Linked DNA regions of Notamacropus eugenii. The protein of the gene in region 1 interacts with the protein of each later gene in a pairwise test. Links are inferred from orthologs where the notes say so. Each region holds a gene or a part of one and is shown on either strand. Other genes may lie near its edges.

Region 1 (10,455 bases):
GCTGTCCTCCAGGCCTGGGATGTTCCCCTCCTCACGTTCATCTCTTAATTTCTTTGGTTTTAAGACTCAACTCAAATCCCACCTGCTGAAGGAGGCCTTTCCCAATTCCTCCTAGCTGCTAGTACTCTCCCCTCTGAGATTATCATCTGTATCTTGTATTGAATTTTTGTAATTGCATACTGTCTTCTTCATTAGAATTTGAGGTCTTTAAGGGCAGAGGTAGGTTTGTTTTGGGGTTGTTCTTTTCCCTTTGTTTGTGTCCCTAGCTTTTAGGCCTAGCCCATAGTGAGTTCTTAAGAAATGCTTATTGACTGACCAACTGACTAAATGGACCCCCCCTACCTATCTTATAGGATTATTGTGGTATGTGGTAATACTGTATATAGGCTCTGAAAATTATAAAATGTCATAAAAATATGAAGGATATATCTTTGTTGCAGTGTCAAAGTTCATAATCCAGAAAAAAAAGTACTTTGCAGTTTATTTAGGAGCTGAGGTTGTTGTTTCAAACATTTGAGCCATCTCTTACTTCTCACTCATTCCCCATATCTAATCAGTTGCCAAATTCTATTGTAATACTGACTTTATACCCTCTTTTCCATTCTCCCTTCTATTTTCATTCACAGTCTCATTATCTCACATCTCAGTAATAAAATCTTCTAAAATGTGCTTCCTTTTCTCACCCCTCCATTTCATCATGCATGATGCTATCGGTTTAATCTTCCTGATTCTGAGAGTTAATTGCATCTCCTCCCTTAATTAAAAAAATTAATAATATTGCCAGATATGGTGATGGTGCATGCTCATAGTCCCTGCTACTAAGGAGGCTGAGGTTGGTAAATTACTTGAGTTCAGGGATTTCTAAGTTATAGTATGGCTAAAGGTGGTACCAATGTGTAAACCACAGGGAATGGGGGGGGGGGGGTCACCAGGTTTTGTAAGGAGGGGCAAAGTGGCCTAGGCTGGGAATAGAACAGGTCGAAGCTTTTGTGTCTATCAGCATCAGTGCTGGGCCTGTGCATGGTTGCTGAACTTCCAGCCTTAGGAAAATTGGGAAACCTAATCACATTCACAAAAGAAAAGAAATAAAACAAAACAAATGATTCTCCATTACCTGCCAAATACAATTTTAGTTTTTAGTTTGAGATTCAAAGCTCTCCAAAACCCGGCCCCAATTCAACTTTCCTAGAATGAGAGGTTCAGAACTGGAAGGGTCTTTAGAGAGGTCATTTCATCACCTACCCCTCCCCTCCCATTTTCAATCCTTCCTCTCCTACCCAGACACTATACTGCTATCAAACTGCATTACTCAAAACTCCTTAAATATCTTACACTGTAGGGGAAGAATCAGAAAACCTAGATTCTAAACCTTGCCTTTCATGACCCCAGAAAAGTCATTTAATATCTAGCCTTGGTTTCTTCATCTATAAAGATTAAGGGTTTATCATTTCTAAGGTCTATCTATAAATCCTATGCCCCATGCTTTCTTGTTTCTGGGGGGGGGGGGGGGGGGGAGTTTGGCCCAATTTTATTTTTTTTGTAATGTTTGAGATAGCCTCACCTTGATCTACTCTGTTGAAATCTTTCCAGTTTTCCAAGGTCTGGGTCAGATAACATCCTTTCCATGAAGCCTTCCCCTTTCCTGCCAGGAGAAGTCATCTTCCCCTCTTCTGCATCGTCATAATATCAGCTCTGTCATTCCTTTCTTATGATCACTTTCTACTTTGCATTACAGTCACTTGCATATTGGACCAAAATCAGTGCTGACCAAGAGCCAGCTGGTATCAGCATCGAAAGCCAACTGTTAAATTTTCAGTGTGAACATTTACACCCTGGAAATTGGCAAACACTGCAAATCAGAGCTTGTGTTTTATTGATTTTCGAGACGTAAAGTGATGGAGAAAATATTAATAATATAGATTAAACATAAAGTGTGTTCTGTGTGTATTTTTTCAGAGTCGCTTGTTAAACATTTACCAGCACACCTACGAAAAATTCTTTCCAAGTAGTAACTTGTAAGCCCCCAGTGATGTTTTACTTTTTATCAGTCAGCCATCGTTAACAATTAATAACAAAGGTATTTTAATGACAGTATAAATAAATTTAGTTAAATGACAGTGAGATTTTTATATCTGATCCTGGAGGTAATAGGGAATTTATTAAGGGGGGAGATGGGGGGAAACATGGTCAGACCTGTCCTTTAGGAAGATCATTTGGTAGCTGGGATTTAAAGGAAGTCAGAGAAGCCAGGAGGAGAGATGAGGAAGGAAGGCAATCCAGACATGGGGGAAAATGCTCTGAGTTGGGAGATGGAGAATCATGTTTAAGAAATAGCAAAGAGGCCAGTGTCATTGAATCATAAAGTGTAAAAAAATTAGAAAGGTGGGAGGGGCAGGTTATGACAGGCTTGGAATGATAAAGCATTTTATATTTGATTATGAAGGGTTAACTCATGAACCTCACAATGAAGAGCTGCTATCTCCTACTGATATTACTTTACTTCCTCAAAAGGCATGTTTTTCTGATCTAGGTAATGTCAACTGATTATTTTCAGATTCACCTAATAATAATAATAATATATATACATATATATGTGTGTGTATATGTATGTGTACACATACATACATACATGTTGCTTTATGGTTTACAAGGTACTTAATATGTTATTTTATTTGATCCTCACAATAACCTAGAAGTTAGGTTCTATTATTATCACCATTTTACAGATGAGGAAACTGAGGTAGAGGCATCTCAGGCTGGATTTGAACTCAAGTTGTCCCACCCCCAAGTCTAGCACTCTGTCTACTGTGTACCATCTAGCTGTGTACTATCTATTCTGTACAACATCTTCTACGGATACTGTTACAGTTCTTTCACCAACTCTTTTAGTCACCTCTGCCATGGAAGGGTACTATGATTAGTTAGAATTATACTCTCTCCTGAAAAAGATATTCCCTAGCTCCTTCAATCTGATCTATCAGCCTCCTACTCTTTCAGCTTCCTCCTGTGCATAAGTTAGAGGCAGCTGAGCCTGGAGTCAAAAAGTCCTGAGTTCAAATTCAATCTCTGGTGCTCATTAGTTATATGAACTTGAGCAAGTCACTTAATCTCAGTTTCCTCAACTGTAAAATAGGGTTTTGTCATGAAGATCAATGAGACCATTTTTGTAAAGTGATTAGTACAATGCCTGGCAGTAGTAGGTGCTATATAAGTACTATTTTATTTATTATCATTTCTAGCTATAATCTTCAGATTAAGTGCTATCTTCAGAGCCACCTACTCAATTTGGTTCTTCATTTACTGAAGGTGTTGGGATTAGCAATATTCTCCTTAGCAAGAAGGGCTCATTCTTCTTAGTTAACCTTGTTTGCCAATAGCTATGAAGTTTTTTTGTTTGTTTTTGTTTTCAGCTAGGATCCTCAATTAGTTAGGATACTTTCTTCTTTTTACTCAGACTGCCACAGAAGGGACAAGGGGTCAGACAGAAGCTTGCCTTCAAACTCTTTTAAGCAATTCCTTTATTCTCTGCACTTTACCTACTCTCTTCTGGCTTTCCTGGAAATCTAAATTCAATTGTTACCTAACATGGTCAGAAACCCATTTCAGTACTAAGGTTGTAAGACCAAGGTAAATCTCCCCAGGGGGAAACACTTTGATGAGGATCAGATCATTTTACCCAATCAGCTCTTCTGTTTTATGTAAAGTAGAAATGGCTGAATTGGCTAGTGAAATCTAAAAGACCGTTGACTCTAGTCTTTTCCTACAGAAAAACATTGTAGCCTGACCTCTTTCTCTGGCTGTTTTATACTTGCATGAAGACTTTTTTCTCTCCCTTGCTAGATGATAGGATTTTATTTTTATCTACCACAGTACCTAGAACAGAAACTCTTAGGGTCATAAAATCTTATATCTAGTTCGTTGGCTACTAGCACTTTTTAGTGTGTATAAACTCCTTTTCAATATTAAAAAAAAAAAGTTTCCTGGACCTATGGGTTATTGTTGTACTATTTAGTAACCAATGATTGAAAAATTACATAACAAAAAGTTATTATGAGTTCAGTAATGCTTTTAAGTGAACTTGTGTTTTATTCATCTGAATACTTCTGAAAAATAAGAATCTAAATGAGACATTATTCAGTCTACAAAAACTATGCTTATTATAGAGGAATCATTTAATGAGATAGACCCTTTAAAATAATAGCATCCCACAGGTTGGGAACTACTATATCTCGTCCATCTTTTACACCTTAAACGTTTGTCATACATAAATAAAGCTAGGGATTCTTCATCTGTATGTTACCTAATTTCTAACAATCTTTAAAATAAAAGCTAGAAACCAAAAGCTGAACCTATCAAAGAGATAGAAAGGTTCTTAGATCCAGAGACAATGCTAGGTCACTTAAATTCTCTGGGTCTCAGCTTTCTCATATGGGAAAGATCTAGTTCTTAAAGCCTCTGGGACTCACCTGTTGACAGTGATGCACGCACAAATTCTCTTTTAAAAATCTCCAATACTTTTGAATAACATATTCCAGGGCTTCACATTCCCTTTTCTCCTCTGAGGCTTTTGCCACTTTCGAAGTTAATTTTATTTTTAAGGATTATGCAACAGCTCAGTGCTGCAAGATGAGACATGGGGGGAAAGAGAAGGAGATGGTTTCAGTTTTTGCAAAGCCCAAGCTGAACAGTCAGCTTCCATCTCAAGAGGACTTTTCTAATCGACCTTGGAGCGCTGTCCCTGGCAATGTTTCTAAAGAGCGAAAGTAAACAGGAGGGCATTTGGGCCTTGGCAAACACAGGAGAGGGGACCTAACTCCAAAGTCCCAGAGTGGTTCCAGAACTTCCTACTGATTACACTTTCACTGAATTAACAAGAGTTCCCTGGGAGCAGAGGGTGGGAAAGTGAGGGAAAGGTGGTGCTGACTAGCAGGCAGCTTTTGTCCTGGTGCTCCTTGGCTGGCACCTGACCCTCAAGTAGGTGCGGTAGGTAGAGATAAAACTGAGCTGTGCCCTTCAACCTGGACCTCGGAGCCAGCCTCCCTTAGGCCACCGCGTACTCTTTGCCAGGTCGGTGAGACAGCATCCACTATGTTTCCGAGTGGCAATCTCGTTGGGAGGTAAGGGGAAAAATGGTTTCTTTGGTTTGTTTTAAAGGACACACGTACACTACACTGCTCTAAATTATACGCCCGGAGAAACGGTTTTGTCTTAAAAGGCGCACAAGCACAAAACATACGCACAGGGGGAGTCCACCGTCTCTTGGAGTTGGGACACCCGGGTCCAACTCCTGGTTTTGGAAGTTCCAATCCTTCCTCTTACTACCCTGGGTGACCTTGAGCAAATCACTTAAATTTCCCTGGGCCTCAGTTTCCTCATGACCAAAATGATGAGTCTGGACGAGATGAACTCCAGGCTGCCTTCCAACTCAAAAATCTACGGTTATTACGGTAAGGCCTGTGTTTTGGGGAGGGGTCTCTCCCCGCCCTCCGCCCCCGACGGGGATGGAGAGAGTTAAACACAAAGATTCTCAATACCTCCTTCCCTTCCTCCCCTCCCCCCCAGTGCTCCCACGCCAGCCCCCACCCCATTCCAAACCCGCAGGAAGTCAGCAGCCGCAAGGGTGGGGGATTTTAAGAGGAGGAGCCGGGAGGAAGCGGCCGGCCTCGGTGGGCGTGGCCACGCATTTCTCCGCCCCCAGGGTGGTCGGAGGCGGGGCGTTGCCGGGGCTGTGCCGGGGAGTCCCGGCCCTCGGGTGGAATACAGTGAAGTGCCAGGGAGACTCAAGGAGCCGCTTCCGCGCCACCCCGTCCCTGCCGCTGCGCCTTCCTTCTCCGCACCTTGTCTCGGGAGCTGAGAGAAAGAAGTCCGGCCGGGGAGCCCCAGCGCAGGGGTCGGAAGCTCAACATGATGGACTTGGAGCTGCCCCCGTCGCAACAGGTGCTACTGCCGGCACCTCCGGGACTGGCGAAGGGGGGGAGACGTCACGCACACGAGAGCGGGGCTGGGGGGGAGCGGACGTCACGCCTCCGGGAGCAAGGGGGGGACACGCCTACGGTAACAGGGACGGGGGCGACGTGGGCGACGTGGGCCGACCTCCTTCCCTCTGTCTTCTCTGTACAGTCCACCGGCGAGAGGGGACGGCGGGGAAGGCCGGGGTCGCGGAGGAGTCTAGGATTAAAGGAAAAATAACACCCGACCCCCTCCTCGGGAGAGAATAGAGGTGGGGGAGGAGTTGAGGATGGCGCCCTAGGGGGATCCAGAGGGGAAGTCCCCAGGAAGCCGTGGATGCAGGGCAGGGGAGGGGGGCAGCTTCCCCCCGGCTCTGCCTGTCACGAGCGCGTCGGCGGCCCCGGTGCGCTGGGTCTCCTTTCCTGAGGGAGGAGGAAGAGGAGGTGCGGAGGGGGTGGGGATTCCCAACTCCGGAGGGGAGGGGGACGTGGGTGGGGGGTGCAACAGCTGTTCCCGCCCCCGCTGTCTTCCGGGAGCCCCTCCTCCCCAGGTCGCCGCACTGCGGCTGCGCGGCGATGGGTGAGTTGAGGAGGTGTCTCTGGTCTCTTCCTTGGGCACTGTGGGAGGGGGTGGGGCGAAGCCTGCGCCGCCCCGCCCCTGCACCGCCCCCGCCCCTGCGCCGCCCCGTCCTTGCCCCCCTCCCCGGGGTCTGGTTGTCAGGGGAGGAGAAGCTTCCTAAGCGCCCTCGGGGCCTGCTCTAGCTTCTTTCGTCTCTTCGCACTTCCATTCCTGAGCTGCTCTCTCTGGCCTTGAAGCCTGCGTGCTTAGTCGCCAGGGGGAGGATGAGGTATGGACTGGCCCCCGGACCCTCGAGTGAGCGAGGAGCGCGGGGCGCACGTCTGGCTTGGAAGTCTGGGCTTCCATAGAGATCGATCATCTCTAGCCCTCCCCCGCCCCCACCTCTCCAGTTACTGCATCTCCGAGCCGGGGAAGGGAAAGGCTAGGCTTGTTCCTCATCACGCTTACCCTCCACTAGGGATTTCTAGGGTACTGAGAAAAACCAGTCTTTAAAGGACTCCAGTTAGCTTTGTGCTTCTGCAGTGACCTAGATGGCCCCGACGGACTGAATGAAGCCGTCCAAAAGCTCATAGTGTATCTACCCCTGACGGTGGTCCCCGGGCGGACCGTGGCGGAAGATAGCCAGGCCTGGACCCTGCATCTGATGAAGGCCGCTTGTCGTCCGGGAGAGAATGGGGAATTGGGAGTTCAGTTTGTCTTGCCTCCCCCCCTTTTCCTCTCCTACAGAACTCGGGAGTTTTGGAAACGTTCCGTACAACATACAGCACCCCCTCCCCGCTGCGGTAGTCCCGAGTGCGCGCTTCTCCGCGGCCTCCGAACGCGTCCCTGCGGCCTCGGCGGGGGTCAGCTGCCGCCAGTCGCGGCCGCCCTAGAGGGGCCCCTTGTGCTGCCTAGCGTGCCAGCCCGGCCGAGCTCGAGGAGCTCAAGGCCAGGGCGAGTCGGAGCTGGGGAGCTGTTGCGCAATTGTTATTTTCCCCTGGGCTGCTTTGTCTTTGGATGAAGTTTCTCAGATTGTAATTCTAAAATATGTAAAGCAGAATACGCTAAATGTTGTTCTGAGTAGGGCTGCCAGGGCAGATCAGGGTTTGTATTTTTGTGTAAAATGAGGTCTGTGCTTACACATTAAAACTTCGACTCCAAACTACTGCCTAGTTGGCTTTACCTTGAGTCTCTTTTCCCGCCGCCCTTCTCCCGGTCCCCTTCCTGTTAGAGAATTTTTCTTTCTTTTCGTTCTGCCTTTTTTGTAAGGATAGATGACGGGATACTTGTGTTGCACGGTGATCCTTTTGCTAGCAAGTTCTGTAGTCCGAGTTGGAAGAATTTGGAAGTAAGGTCCTTTATCATTTCAAATCATAGCATATTTTAAAAGTGTGACAGACAAGTGAAAAGATTACTTAGGATTTCTCGGCTTTTGTTTGAAGTTTTAAGAAAGATTATTGTTTCAAGGACATTTTTAATTTGAACTTGACCCTCTCAAGGTATTGAATGCTTTCCTCTTTGAAAGCAGTTATCTAATCTTGGCACGACTAAAGAGTTCCCTTTTCACCTTCTCTTTGGATATACATTCAGGACATTATAGGTCCCTATGCAGTTGTATAGTCTTGGACTGCTCCCGAAGAATGATTTTGGTTTTGTGCCCTAATAGCTTACTATTATAAAGATAGCTGTTTTGTTGGATTCAGTTATGACCAGAACTGAGGCTGTGTAGATGCTTCCTTGAACATATACAAAATACTATTGATTCATTTTTGGAAATGGAAAATGTTTTGGAGGATAGCGTTCAAATGTGCCCTAAAATTTCGTGCTTGAGGAAACAAAAGGAAACATGGAGAATGGACTTACAACAAAATGGCAAAATTTTATCACTGAAACATCAGTTTGAAGTCAGTAGAAAAATAAAATGAGGCTTCAGAGCTGATAGCAAAAAAAAAAATTGAATAAAGATATTGAAGTTTTTGTAATATACTTGCTAGGTATCACCAAAGGAATAAGGTTCTTGACCTTGTGGAGACTCTTTATTTTAAATGTGTAATTTATTAAGATCAAGTGAGATAATATTTGTAAAAAGTGTTCAGCACTTACAGTCTGGTACATACGTGTGTATAAAAAAGCACAATAAAAATGCTTATTCCTTTCCCTATTCCACTTACCCTATTGTACCAGAAAATATGCTGTCACCCTCTTTACATAGAAGAAGATATCTAGGAAGAGATCGTTAAGTATATAACTTGAATTCCCCACACCCATCATAAAAACTTTACATTTATTCTCTTGTACATTGTGCTGCAGATGAAAGACGCAGTTACTTTTTTCACTGCAGTGATAAGTGTCAAGTTCAAAAAGAAAAGTGAGAAGGAAAAGTCAGTAGTCTCTCTTGATATAGAGAGCAACTTGACATTTTTGTTTTATGAAACATCTTGAGATATTTTGAAAACACTTTGTAGGAGGACTCATTCAACTCCTCTCAGTCACAACAAAAAAAGTCATGCCTGGTGCACTTAAATTTTCCTAGACAATAAGGACAAGGTTTCATTCTTTGTGAATAACAAAAAGTTAAAGAGAGACTATATGTTTTCATTAATATTAATCTATTTTCATTCAAGATAATTTATGGACAGCCGGAAAGTAACCCCAGGAATGTTGGGGAAAATCTCAGAGGTTTTTTCCCTCTTTTTTTCTTCATTCTAGACTCTCTTAACATTGCCATTATCCACACTTGTGGATAATGTGAGAGGAAAATGTCGCATTTTAATAAAAAGTGGGTAAACTGAGGAAAACTAAAGAAGCTAACTTTTTTTTAGTTTCTAAGAAATATACCTGTTTCTATGTGATTATGTCTGAATTTGAGTTAAGTATCAGTCAGAGGAGAAATTTATTGGGATAAATAAAACATAACCTATTTGGTACTTCTGAAATGAAGAAAACAAAGTCTTAAGAAGTCTTCGGGTTAATTAACTGGGTAAGTTTATATTGTCTTTAGGAATACCACGTTCAAAATAAAATAACTTTTTTTCCTTAAAAACTTATAATATTCTAAGTTGTTGATGCATTTGTTGGATTTTGGAGTATAGTCAACCTAACTGAAGTCAGTAGATGTGTCTGTTGAGCAGATTTCAGAAATTTGTGTTTGGCACAGCAGGTTATAGAAATACTTAAAACATCTAATAGATGAGGAAGTTTTATGGATTTTATCAGGTATTGAGTAATTGAAATGACGATAGTGTTTTACAATTTTTATTTAAAGCTGGGAAGATGTTAAAATTTCTCAGAAATATACCAATTGTATTTTAAGATATATATGATTGTTTTAAGATTATGAGCAAGGAAACAAAAAGCTTATTACAACACTTAATGAATTAATCCATCCTCACTCCCGAGTTAGAGGGTTTTTCTGTTTGAGTCACTGACACAACACTTTAAATACTAGAATTAAGTCTGAGAACAGAAAGTACTGTTATCACGGAACACATTGTTTGCTCCAGTCATGTCAGGACCTAGATACATGAAGAGGAGGACTACTGACTTCGGAGTGTAGTCCCTGTGTGGGTTTGTTTTCACTCTGGCACTAAACAATACAAAGGCCGGAGGTAAAATGGAATTTGAGAGCCAAGTCCATCTTTTATTGGGTAGTGTTAATAAGTGACTTTTGAAAGCCATTATAATTCAACATATCAGCATAGTCTGAAGGGTTTTATTAAAAGTCTGTAAATACTTAATTTTTTTTTCTCACAAGCTTAGAAACTCTGGGACTTTTGGACTGTGATATCAGTAACATACTGATGTTTAGCTATCCTTTTTTTCAGGCCAGATAAGAAGGGAAGTCATTCAGCTAGATGGAGAAATATTTGCCCTGTCTGATTCATAGTTATTTCTCTCTTCATTCATGGTTTTTTACTACTCATTTGACAGTTAGCAAGGTCCTCCTGT
Region 2 (10,501 bases), on another chromosome or scaffold:
ACAGCCTCTGCTCTCAGGGAGTTCACAGTTTAATGGGGAGACAACATGCAATAAACAACTATTGACAAAGATTCTAGATAGGACACATTAGAGACAATGTCCAGACAGAAGGCACTAGAATAAAAGGGGATCAGGAAAGGCTTCCTGTAGAATGTGGGATTTTAGCTGGGATTTGAGGGAAGTCAGAGAAGCCAGAAGGTAGTGAGAAGGAAGGAGAGACTTCCAGGCTTGGGGGATGAGGGGTGGGGCGCAGAAGACAGTCAGTGAAAATGTCTGGAGGTGGGAAATGGAGTGTCTTGTTTGAGGAAGAACACAGAAGTCGGTGTCCTTTGGATCTCAGAGTACATGGGGGATGGAGGGTGCAAGGTGTAAGAAGATTCAAAAGGTAAATATGGACAGATTATGAAGGGATTTGAACAACAAACAGGTAATTTTATGTGTGATCCTGGAGGTAAGTAGGGGTTGGAACTGTGCTTTAGCAAGGTCACTGAAGGCTGAGTAGAAGATGAACTGGAGTAGGGGGAGACTTGTGGCAGGCAGACAAACCATCAGACTCTATAAAAATCCATGTATGAGGTGGGCAGGACCTTAAACAGGATGGAAGTACTGTCAGAGGAGACTTTACAAAGGCAAAAAAAAAAATAAGCCTTGACAACCAATTGGATTGGGAGGAGGGGGATGTGAGAGAATGAGGAGATGAGAATGATATTTAAGTTGCAAGCCTGGGTGACTGGGAGGATGGTGCTACCCTCAACAGTAAGGGAAGTTAAGAAAAGGGAAGGGTTTTGCAGGGGAAAAATAACGAATTCAGTTTTGGACATGGTGAGTTTAAGGTGTCTGTAGAACATGGTGTAGAGACATTCATTATTAGGCAGTTAGATATGTGGGACTGGAGGCAAGTAGAGAGTTTTAGATTAGATAAGTAGATCTGCGAATTATCATCATGGAGATAATAACTGAATCTATGGAAGCTGATGAGATCACCAAATGAAATAGTATATGGGGAGAAGAGAAGAGGCCTAGGATGTTGCCCTGTGGGGCACCCAACGATAAATGGTATGACGTAGACGCAAATCTAGCAAAGGTGACTGAGGAGTAGTTAAATAAATAAGAGAACCAGGAAAAAGTAGTGTCATAAAAACCTAGAGAGAAGATGGTATCAAGTAGAAAAGGGTGACTGATATTGTCAAAGGCTAAAGAGAGGTCAAGAAGGATAAGAACTGAGAAAAGGCCATCAGATTTGTCAATTAGAAGATATTTGGTAAGTTTGGAGGGAGTACTTTTCAACTGAATGGGTGTTGTCCTTCATTCTCAGAGGACCAAAATGACATCACTATGGTTAGAGTCAAGTTACAATGTGTCCCGCTGTAGCTGTTCAGACCAATACAAACTCAGAATGCTCTACCATAGGTCAGGCAAAAATAGTCCATGTGAACATTTGGGGTGGAGTTGCTAAATTTGACATTTGGGGTGTGGTTGACTGCAGGGTGGGCTCTCTGCCTGCCTCAGCAATCAGGCTAAGGTAGAGTAAGCAGACAATTTCTAGGGCACCTTTTCTAGCCTCTTCCTCACACCAAGAGATGAGCAGGGAGATCCTTAAAAGGCTGCTCAGATACTCAGGGCTGCTGAATCTCATTGCTGCTTCCAATGAGAAGACAACCCTGTGGCCTGGGCTGTCTGGGTAGAGGACTATGAGTACAGCTCCCAAGGTATCCGCACCTGCTGCTTCATCACTTCCCTGTCACCACAGAACTTTGAGATAGGTAAAATGGAATGGGTGTTGTTTTTTGATTCGTGCATAAATTGGATTCAAGTGAGGCAGAATTTCACTAAGTCGTTTACCTCACTCTCTCTTCCACAGTTATCACAGTCCAGTGGCAGGAGAGTGTGAAGACAACTGGTGGTGGCTCAAGATGCAGAGGATGACCCTGGTCTCTGATGTCTAACCAAACTCTAAACGTTCCACAGCACCTGCTTCAGATGCCTTCATTGCCATTGGGACAAACTGTTCTCATCTGTCCATTCCACCAGGGCAAGTCTTCATATGCTTGGGATAGACACACCCCTAACTCACCAATGGGTTTGAGACCCCTCAGTCACCCTCAACCTGGTTTAGTCTGTCTGCCAAAATGGTTTACTGGGATGCTCCAGCTTCTTGGAGTCACAGGGAGAGTTAGGTGGAACTGGTGGATACTAAATGTTGGAAAGCAGTCCTAAAAAGGACTCACCAGCCCTCACACCAGAGGTACTAGTCTTAATAAAGCCATACTGTAGAGTTAAGAAGAAAGTCAGAGAAAATGAAATGGAAACTCGTACTGTAGATGGTCCTCTAGAAGAGTTTCAACATAAAAGAGAAGAGAGATATGGGATAATATCCAGGAGGGATGGATGGATCAAGAGAGGTGTTTTTTTTGAGGATGAAGGAGACATCGGCATGTTTGAAGGCAGTAGAGAAGCAGTCTGTAGATAGGAAGGGATTGAAAATTAGTGAGTGGGGATGGTGGAGGAGGCAGTCTGCTGGAAATGACTGAATGGAAAAGGAGCCCTTGTGCATATAAAGGAGTTTGTCTTGACAAGAAGAAGAATCTCATGTTTAGTTAATTTCTGCTAAGACGTAACAGTCATCCTTCCCTCTACATTTATTTCTCCTCACTTACTTTCCCTCCTTCTTAACTTCTCCATTTGCTCCTTTTCATTTTCCCCCTCCTCTTCTTTTTCCACTTTTCTTCTTGGGACTCATCATTCATTTTTAAAAAAAACTAGTTTAATTAATGTCCTTTGTTTTTATGTCACAGTCATTTCTGGAAATAATCCCCTCCCCCTACACAAATCAAGCCTCCCTTCTAACAAAGTTAAGCAAAAACATAACCCACTTCTTACAACATATACAACATTCTGCCCTAATGGTATTCATTATTCTTAAATAAACAAAAACTTCACAACTAAAAACTAAATTAGCTGTTTTCTTTCCTAGCTTTCTTCTTGACTTTCCATTACCCAGGACCTCATCTTCCTTATGTGAGAACTGGTAATGACATTCCTTTGCCCAAAACCCTTCAGTGTTTCCCAATGGTCCAGTGAGTCAAGTTCAAATTTCTTAGCTTAGTATTTATTCTCTGAGGTCCTTTGCGGTCTGCTGCTGTCCAGATCTTTTCACCCTTTTTATCTCATGCTCCTCTGTACTTCTCTCCAAGTATTTTATATTCCAACTAAACTGGACTGTAGTTCCTGCTATAGACCCTATGTTCTAGCCTCCTAGTCGTGCTTGGCTTATACTATTCCTTTGTGTCTAAGATGTCGCTCAGTTCTCCTCTGTTAAATTCTTACCCATTCTTTATAGCCCAAATGAAATACTACCTCCTTATGAAACTTTTAAACTAGACAGCTAATATGGATTTCCTTCTATGTTTTGCTTGCCTCATCTATTTCACTGACCAACTTTTATTTTTAGCCTTTTTATTCTAACTTATCTCATTCTAAAAAATAATTATTGCTTTATAAAATAATTTGAGATCTGATCATGTTAAACCTTCTTGCCTACTTTCCCTTGTTATTTCCCTCAATATTTAGGTACCATTTTTTTGTTCCTCCATGTATATTATTTTGTTCCATTACATAAAATAGTTGACCATTCAACAGGCATTTGTATCATGTGCCAAGAACTGTGTCAGAAAGGGTCCCTGCCTGGGGTGACCTTACATTCCAGTAGAGAAAACATGTACATGAATGCATGGTCACATATAAAAACAAAAAGTATACAAAGTATAACCACGGCGATTAATTACATTAGCAGTTGTGGGGGGGGAGGCGGTGTTAGGAAAGACCTCGTGTAGGAGGCTGCATCTGGCTGAGCTTTGAAGGAAGCTATTGATCCATTTGGTACAGTTGGGACTCAGTCAGTGTCAATAATGATTCTGCACAAGTGACCTCATGTATTCAAAGTTATAATTATGTAAAATATGGTTAAGGTGATTAACATAGCAGGCAACCCTTAGATTAACCTGAATAGTATGGCCAGGTCATAAACATTGACTTTCTTCAATTATATAGGTCACCCTTTATTTCAGTGAAGATTGTTTATAGTTAGAAGTCTCAAATTCTCTGTGTGTCTTGGTAGGCACGAAGGATTTTCTAATCACCCCAGTCCTTAGTGACCTTTCACACTTGAATTTAAACATTTTAAACTTCTTGAGGGCAAGAACTGTCTTGTCTCTTTTTGTATCCCTGGCACTTAACACTGTACTGGGCACAGAGTAAGTGACTAATAAATAGACTGACTGATGGCATGGTACAGTTACCTGGGCACCGACTACACTCTCTGCTACTAGACTATAAACTTCACAAACATCAGGGCTTGTAGTTTGGGTTCACCTCTTTGTTACCCCATTTTGGGCTTTGGATGTTGGGTTTTGTTGGGGTTTCTTTGCAAAGATGCTGAAAGGGTTTGCCATTTCCTTCTCTCACTCATTTTACAGATGAGGAAACTGAAGTAAAAAGGATTAAGTGACTTGCCCAGGGTCACACAGCTAGTCTCAGAACGGATTTGAACTAAAGAAGAGGAGTCTCCCTGACTCCAGACCTCTATCCACTGTGCCGCCTTAAACTTAGGTTATGTTTCATTTATTATATGTTATAAACTTTATAATACCATGCCTTTTCTCCCCTCTGCTTCATAGGCACTTAATAATTTAGAACAGAAATATAAGAGGATAGAGTCCAACCTTTCCATTTTACAGATGAGGCAACTGAGGCACAAAGAACTTAACAGTCACCCAAGATCAAACATGCAGAAAGTGTTCAGACCCATATCCTCTGACTCCCAATACGGTGTTTCTCCCCGCTGTTACTTGACCCTCTAAGGTCCAGACTCCTGCCCTCCGTCTCCCCTGGAAGCCAGAGGACCTGGCCCCAGATTCTGCCTCAGACCCTTATGTGGGTAAGGGTCTATGGGCACGTCACTCAACTTCATGGGGCTTTCTTCATTTTCTCATTTGTAAAAGATCTTTAAAGTCCCTTTGGCACGTAAACCTGTGGTCCTAATGATCTTTGTTCTTTTCAGGTTTTTATGTATTTATAGCATTTCAGCTCCCTCCCTGCCCGGCTCCTCGGGAAGGCAAACAGCACCATGTCCATTCCACGTTAGCCCTGTTAAAACCAACCAGCAGTAAAAAGCAAGGACTCGGGTCTCCGGCGAGAGGCCTCCGGACCGCGGGGTAGCCCAAGGCTGAGTGCCGGGCAGCCGGAGCCCTCCGGCCGCCCTGGCGGGGTGACCCTGAACCCTTCTCCGACCCGGCGCGGCGGCACAGAAGGTGCTACGCCCCAGGGGGTCCGAGGGCTCGCAGAAGCGGCGGCCACGCCCACTGCTCACCCCCTGGGAGGCCGATCACTGGCGCAAGCCCCGCCCCCTCCCCGCCCATCTCCCAGGGCTCAGTCTCCTCATCTGTACAACGGGCCCTGGCGGGGAGGAAAGCAACTTTGCGCCCACGAACCTCTCCAGGGATGCTAAGTTTCTGTGGTTATAACTTTTTTATTGTTGTAATGATCACGTGCCCGTCTCGATGACGGGGGGCTGGGGGGAGGCAGTGACCTCGCGCGGTCCCCCCCTCTAGGGGTTTACACTTGTCTCTCCCCTCTTCCCCCCAAGCCGGCGGCCGGCCCGGGCGGGCCTGGGGGGGGCGGGGTGTGAATGAATGGGGCGGGAGGCGCTAGGCGGCCGCGCGGCGGGCGGGGCCCTCCCTCCCCTCTCCCTCCCGCTCCCTCCCCCCCTTCCCCCCTCCCTCGGTCCGCCGCCCGGGCCAACGGACTGAGGTGACGGGGGGGCGGGGGGGAGGAGGCGAGGGGGCGTGGCCAGCTGACGCGCGCTGACGCGCGATCCCGGAAGCGGAGTGTCAGATGCCGAGGACTGGGGGGGTTGTTGTTATTCCCGAAGTCGGAGGAGGAGGAGGAGGCGAAGTGGGAAAGCGCGTCCCCGCGAGGAGCCGCCGGAGCCGGAGCCGCCGCCGCGCGTCCCCGCCGTCGCCGCCGCCGCCCCCCGCCAGGCCCCGCCGCGTGCCCGCGCCCCAGGTAAGAAGGCGGCTGCGGGCGGTTGGGTCGGCAGAGCCGGGGGTAACGGACCCACCGCCGGACGGCTGGGCAGAGGGGGGGCGGGGCGCTGGAGGACGGGACCCGCCCCGATCCGAGGCTGGCGGCGGCCGCAGCGGGGGCGTGGTGCCCCCTCCCCACTCTCCGGCGCCGGGGGGGTGGGGGCGTCGTCGGCCCCCGACCCCTGACCCCTTTCCTCTTAGCCCGCGCTGGCCGCACGTGCTGCCCCGTCCCGTCCCGGCGCCCCGCGAGCCCGGAGATCCTCCCTGCCCGCCCCTCCCTCCCTTCCCTGGACCGATTCCTTTCCCCCCCTCCCTGTTACCCCCCAAATCGCTGAGTCATCCTTCTGGGGGAGACACGTGCCCGGACCAGGGGGCGGAGGGGGAGACACGTGCTGACTGCCCCGCGGGAAGACCCGGGACCAGCACGTGGCGCCCCCAGACCCTGGGCCAGAGGAGCCCCCCAGGTTCGGGGAAAGCGCCCCAAGAAAAAAGGCAGGCAGAGGGGGGCTAGGAAGGGGACCGGACAAACTGCGGGCGCACCCCATCCGAGAGGAGCAGGAAAGGCAGGGGTGAAGGGGGAGGCGGCAGGGAGCATCCCCGGGGTGGGGAGTAAGCATGCATGGGAACCGGCCGGCCGGAGGGGCACCGCGGGGTGACCATCGAACCAGAGTCGTGGCCGGGGCTGGGCTGCTTCTGTTGGGCGTCTGGCCCCCGGGACCCTTCCTCCAATCTTCCTCCAATTACCCGTTCTGCTGTATTTCCATATATGCAAATGATCTGATGGTCCAGGGTTGTAACTTATTACTCTGACCTTTGGGGTTTTGGGGGGCTCAGTTTGACACACAAACTTGTACGTTTAGGAATCTGATGACTCTTCTTAGCGGGAGTAGGAAACACCTCCCCTTGTTACATCTCAGGGGCCAGGGACGTAAAAGCACCTAGGGAATGTCAGACGGCCGCTGAGGAGGCTCAGCCCGATAACTGCCTTACTGTAGGCAGATGACCCAAACACGGTACCAAGAGTCGTAGGCCACTGGTGTATGATCTCCCTGACAGACCGTCCTACGTAGTCCTGATCTGCTTAGGATATTAAATTGTTACACTGTGACAAATGAAACTTCAAAGGCCGCTCCCTTGTATTTAGAGATATCCAGACATAAGATAGGAAAAGCTCCCTAGATTCTGGCATGTTTCATTCAGTTTTTATTTTCCAGCTTAGAAAGTCTAGGAAGGAAGAACGTTTTTTTTTTAAAGAGTGCTTAGAAACCTAGGTAGTATTTGGTGGTTTGTTTTTTTTTATATTAATCATTTTAGACTACTAAAGAAAGAAGTTGTTGACCTTTCTAAACAGGATCATGAAACCTGAGTGATCCAGTATGAAAATGACTGGAGAGCCTAACCCTAGGTGATATCACTCACTTGTGGTGACGATCTATTGAAACCGATTTTGGTTAATGTTTACTCTTGGAATTTTAGTCTGGGATATTTGCTGTGATAGGAAAGGGTGGATTGAAATAACAGTATTCACATTAATACCCATTTGTACTCAGGCATTTTATAAGCTAAAGAGTTAAAAGCATAATAAAGATTTTTTTAAAATTCCCCATTTTACAGACAGGGGCACTGAGGCATAAAAAGTGACTGCCTTCTACCCCCAAGAGATCAGTGGCAGAGGTGAGAAAGAGATTTCCAACTCCTGTCTTTTTTCTCAAAAAAGTGAATTCTTTAAAACCAAATGAGAGATTAGAGACATGTCAGATGACATCTCCAAAATTAAATATGTTCATTTAAGCCGATGCTAAGAAACAAAGCCCTAAAGCTCCTCTCTTAGGTGCGATACTGGAATATCAACCAACATAGTCTCATAAGGGAAAAGGGGTTCCTGTTGTAGGCCAGAGCCCCTGAGCCCTGGAGCCAGGCCAGCCTGGTCAAAACCGGAAATAACGTCCTTTACCTTTCAGTCGTTCAGACCAGCCCTCCCATCCCAGGGTAGCCCGGAGGCCAGATTTGCCCCGAGGGGGCTAAGTGAACATTTTAGGATAGTTGCCTCCCCTTCTATTTCACCGAGAAGCCCTTTGAGGTCACATGTGAGAGGCTGTGTACCCCACGCCCCCAGAGCACCAGCAGCCTCCAGCCTGGCTTAGTAGTTAATGTATTTACCTTGCTGCTTCCGCACTGAGGGAGCCGGTTCAACTTGTACAGTCTCTCTTCCCTTGGTAATGCAGAAAAGCCTTCCTACCACAGTCACTTCCTACAGATGACTGGCATTGCTCCTATCCAATAGCGTTATACAACATCAGCCAGAGGGAAAGGGGATTTAACCCTGCTCTTACCAAAAGTCATGCTGTGATGGAGAATGAAGGAATTTGGGAAATATCGCTTACATTGTTGTTTATTCATAAATCGTCTCAGTACTTACGTAGTGGCTTGATTTGTGTGCTTTGAGCTTCCAGCCTTTGGTGTCTCCAATTAGTATTTCTAGAGTGAGTACATTGGAAGTTCATAGAAGAGCAAATGTGACCTTCTCTTTCCTATCTGCCAAGTCTTTGAAATGAAGACTCATATTCCTCTTAGTAGAGTTTCTTCTTGAATGGCAGTAGGTCTAAAAGAGCAAACCCAGTCATGCTGCTACTCCTCTGATACTGCATACAGTACTTACTTTAAGCAAATAAGCTAACTTTATATTTGCCCAGACTCCAGGGAGTTTTTGATTTTGGAAGGACATGTATTGCGTATTCCTTGTATTTTTAATTTTATGATGTTGGTTTATTGGTTTGCTTTTTCATACTGATTTTGGTAGCCAAGACAGAAACTAAGATATGTACCGAGTTACTCAATAGGTTGGTAAGTTAGTTCCTCCTGTAAGCAGTGGATTTTTATGAGTGACGTGTAGTTTGTCTTACACACTGTCCTTCCCTCCACCTTTGTTTGTCTGGCGCAGTCTAATTGTCTTCATGTCCTATTTGTTGGCTTTGTGGAGGCCTCTGCTTTATTGGGATCATCTTTAAAGGACATCCTGATACGTGCAGATGTTGCTTAATGTCACACCATGTTCAGCTTATTTCAAACCTAGTGATTTTTTTTTTTTTGGATAGACCTGGTGAGAGAGAAGATTGGATGAGTATAAAAAATAAAACACAAAACAATTTTGAAAGCTGAGCTTGGCCTGTTGGGTGGGGGCTGAGGGAGATGGCATTTTGTGCAGCAGTGTAAACTCGTGCTGTGCATGCATACAGCTTCAGTGCCACCTGCGACACATTGCCCCAGAAGGAAGAACCTTAGCTACTGTATTACAAGATCTATACCTTCTTGTCCATCTGCCATGTTCCCTTACCCTTTCCTTTGTAAGATGAAATAATAATTTTTCATTAACCTTTTGGAGGGAGTTTTATAAACTAAAACCAGAAATTTTCCCCAGAATGAAGTTTGCCTTCCATACTTAAACACAGCACAGGCTTTAAGGGAATCATTCCAAGTGTAGCATTGCTTGACTTTCAAGGTGGTTGCTAAAAATGGGAGTTGAGCAGAGATTATTTGGGGAAGGCAACATTTACTATGTGTCAGAATTGGCTGAATCCAATTTCTCTCTCTGACACTATTTGGAACTTTGACACGAGCCTTTTTCAAACCGTAAAATTTTGTCTACTCTAATTCTCACCTTAACCATAACTTCTCTGGTGGTTGCTACATTTGTACACAAACTCAGGCATAACTGTGATTATTTTCCAGATAGTTATTTTAAAATCACATTGATAAAGTTCCTGGGTGTGAGGGTTCCGTGTAAACCATCTTACTGGATTCAGGTTCTGGTCCATAAAGGAAATGGAAAGCTGGCCAGCTGGGAGAATTTTCTGCGTAGCTTCTCCTTGGAGCAGTAAACAGTGACTCACCCTTCTCTATTCCCCACCCTCCTTGTTCTCTGTTAATGGGAGTTATAGCTAAATACTTTTGCTTTTCATAATTCACAGTGTCATCATGTTTCCCCTTTATTACTGTTTTAGAAAATTAACAATTGTCACTTGTCTTGGGGAAGAGAGGGCACTTCTAAAAAGTCATGAGATGGAGGTTCTTGGATCATAGATTTAGAGCTGGGGACCTACCTTAGAGGTCATGTAGTCCAATTCCCTCATTTTGCAAATGAAGAAGCTCAGGCCTAGATGTGGAAGACTTTATGATGGAGAACTTTTCTTTGTAGTAGTCAGAAACTAATATAGCGGGCCTTGGGCACAGAAGAATATTAGCACCAAAGTTAACTGTTACCTGGCCCTTTATCTGCCTAGGATTATGTATCTTCTCTGTGTATGGTTAGTACATAACTGTGCTACATTCATTTCCATTAATGTACTGGGAGATGAAATAGTCTGGAGCTCAGAGTCCAGTCAAATTAAATGTGAAATGAAACTGCAGAGTGTAGGTAG

What was found.
Region 2: the proteins of NFE2L2 (region 1) and MAFK interact in binary tests that used the Homo sapiens proteins (3 or more experiments, as listed by UniProt). The link is inferred for Notamacropus eugenii from reciprocal best matches to the Homo sapiens genes NFE2L2 and MAFK.

The regions. Positions count from the first base shown.
Region 1 is NC_092876.1:240,167,919-240,178,373, reverse strand, and holds the start of NFE2L2 (nuclear factor erythroid 2-related factor 2), read left to right. Parts: upstream 1-5,659; 5' UTR 5,660-5,904; coding exon 5,905-5,937; intron 5,938-6,087; exon of another isoform or gene 6,088-6,220; intron 6,221-6,643; exon of another isoform or gene 6,644-6,796; intron 6,797-10,455.
Region 2 is NC_092874.1:388,037,045-388,047,545, reverse strand, and holds the start of MAFK (transcription factor MafK), read left to right. Parts: upstream 1-5,912; 5' UTR 5,913-6,063; intron 6,064-8,243; exon of another isoform or gene 8,244-8,413; intron 8,414-8,502; exon of another isoform or gene 8,503-8,756; intron 8,757-10,501. UniProt on the Homo sapiens protein: Since they lack a putative transactivation domain, the small Mafs behave as transcriptional repressors when they dimerize among themselves.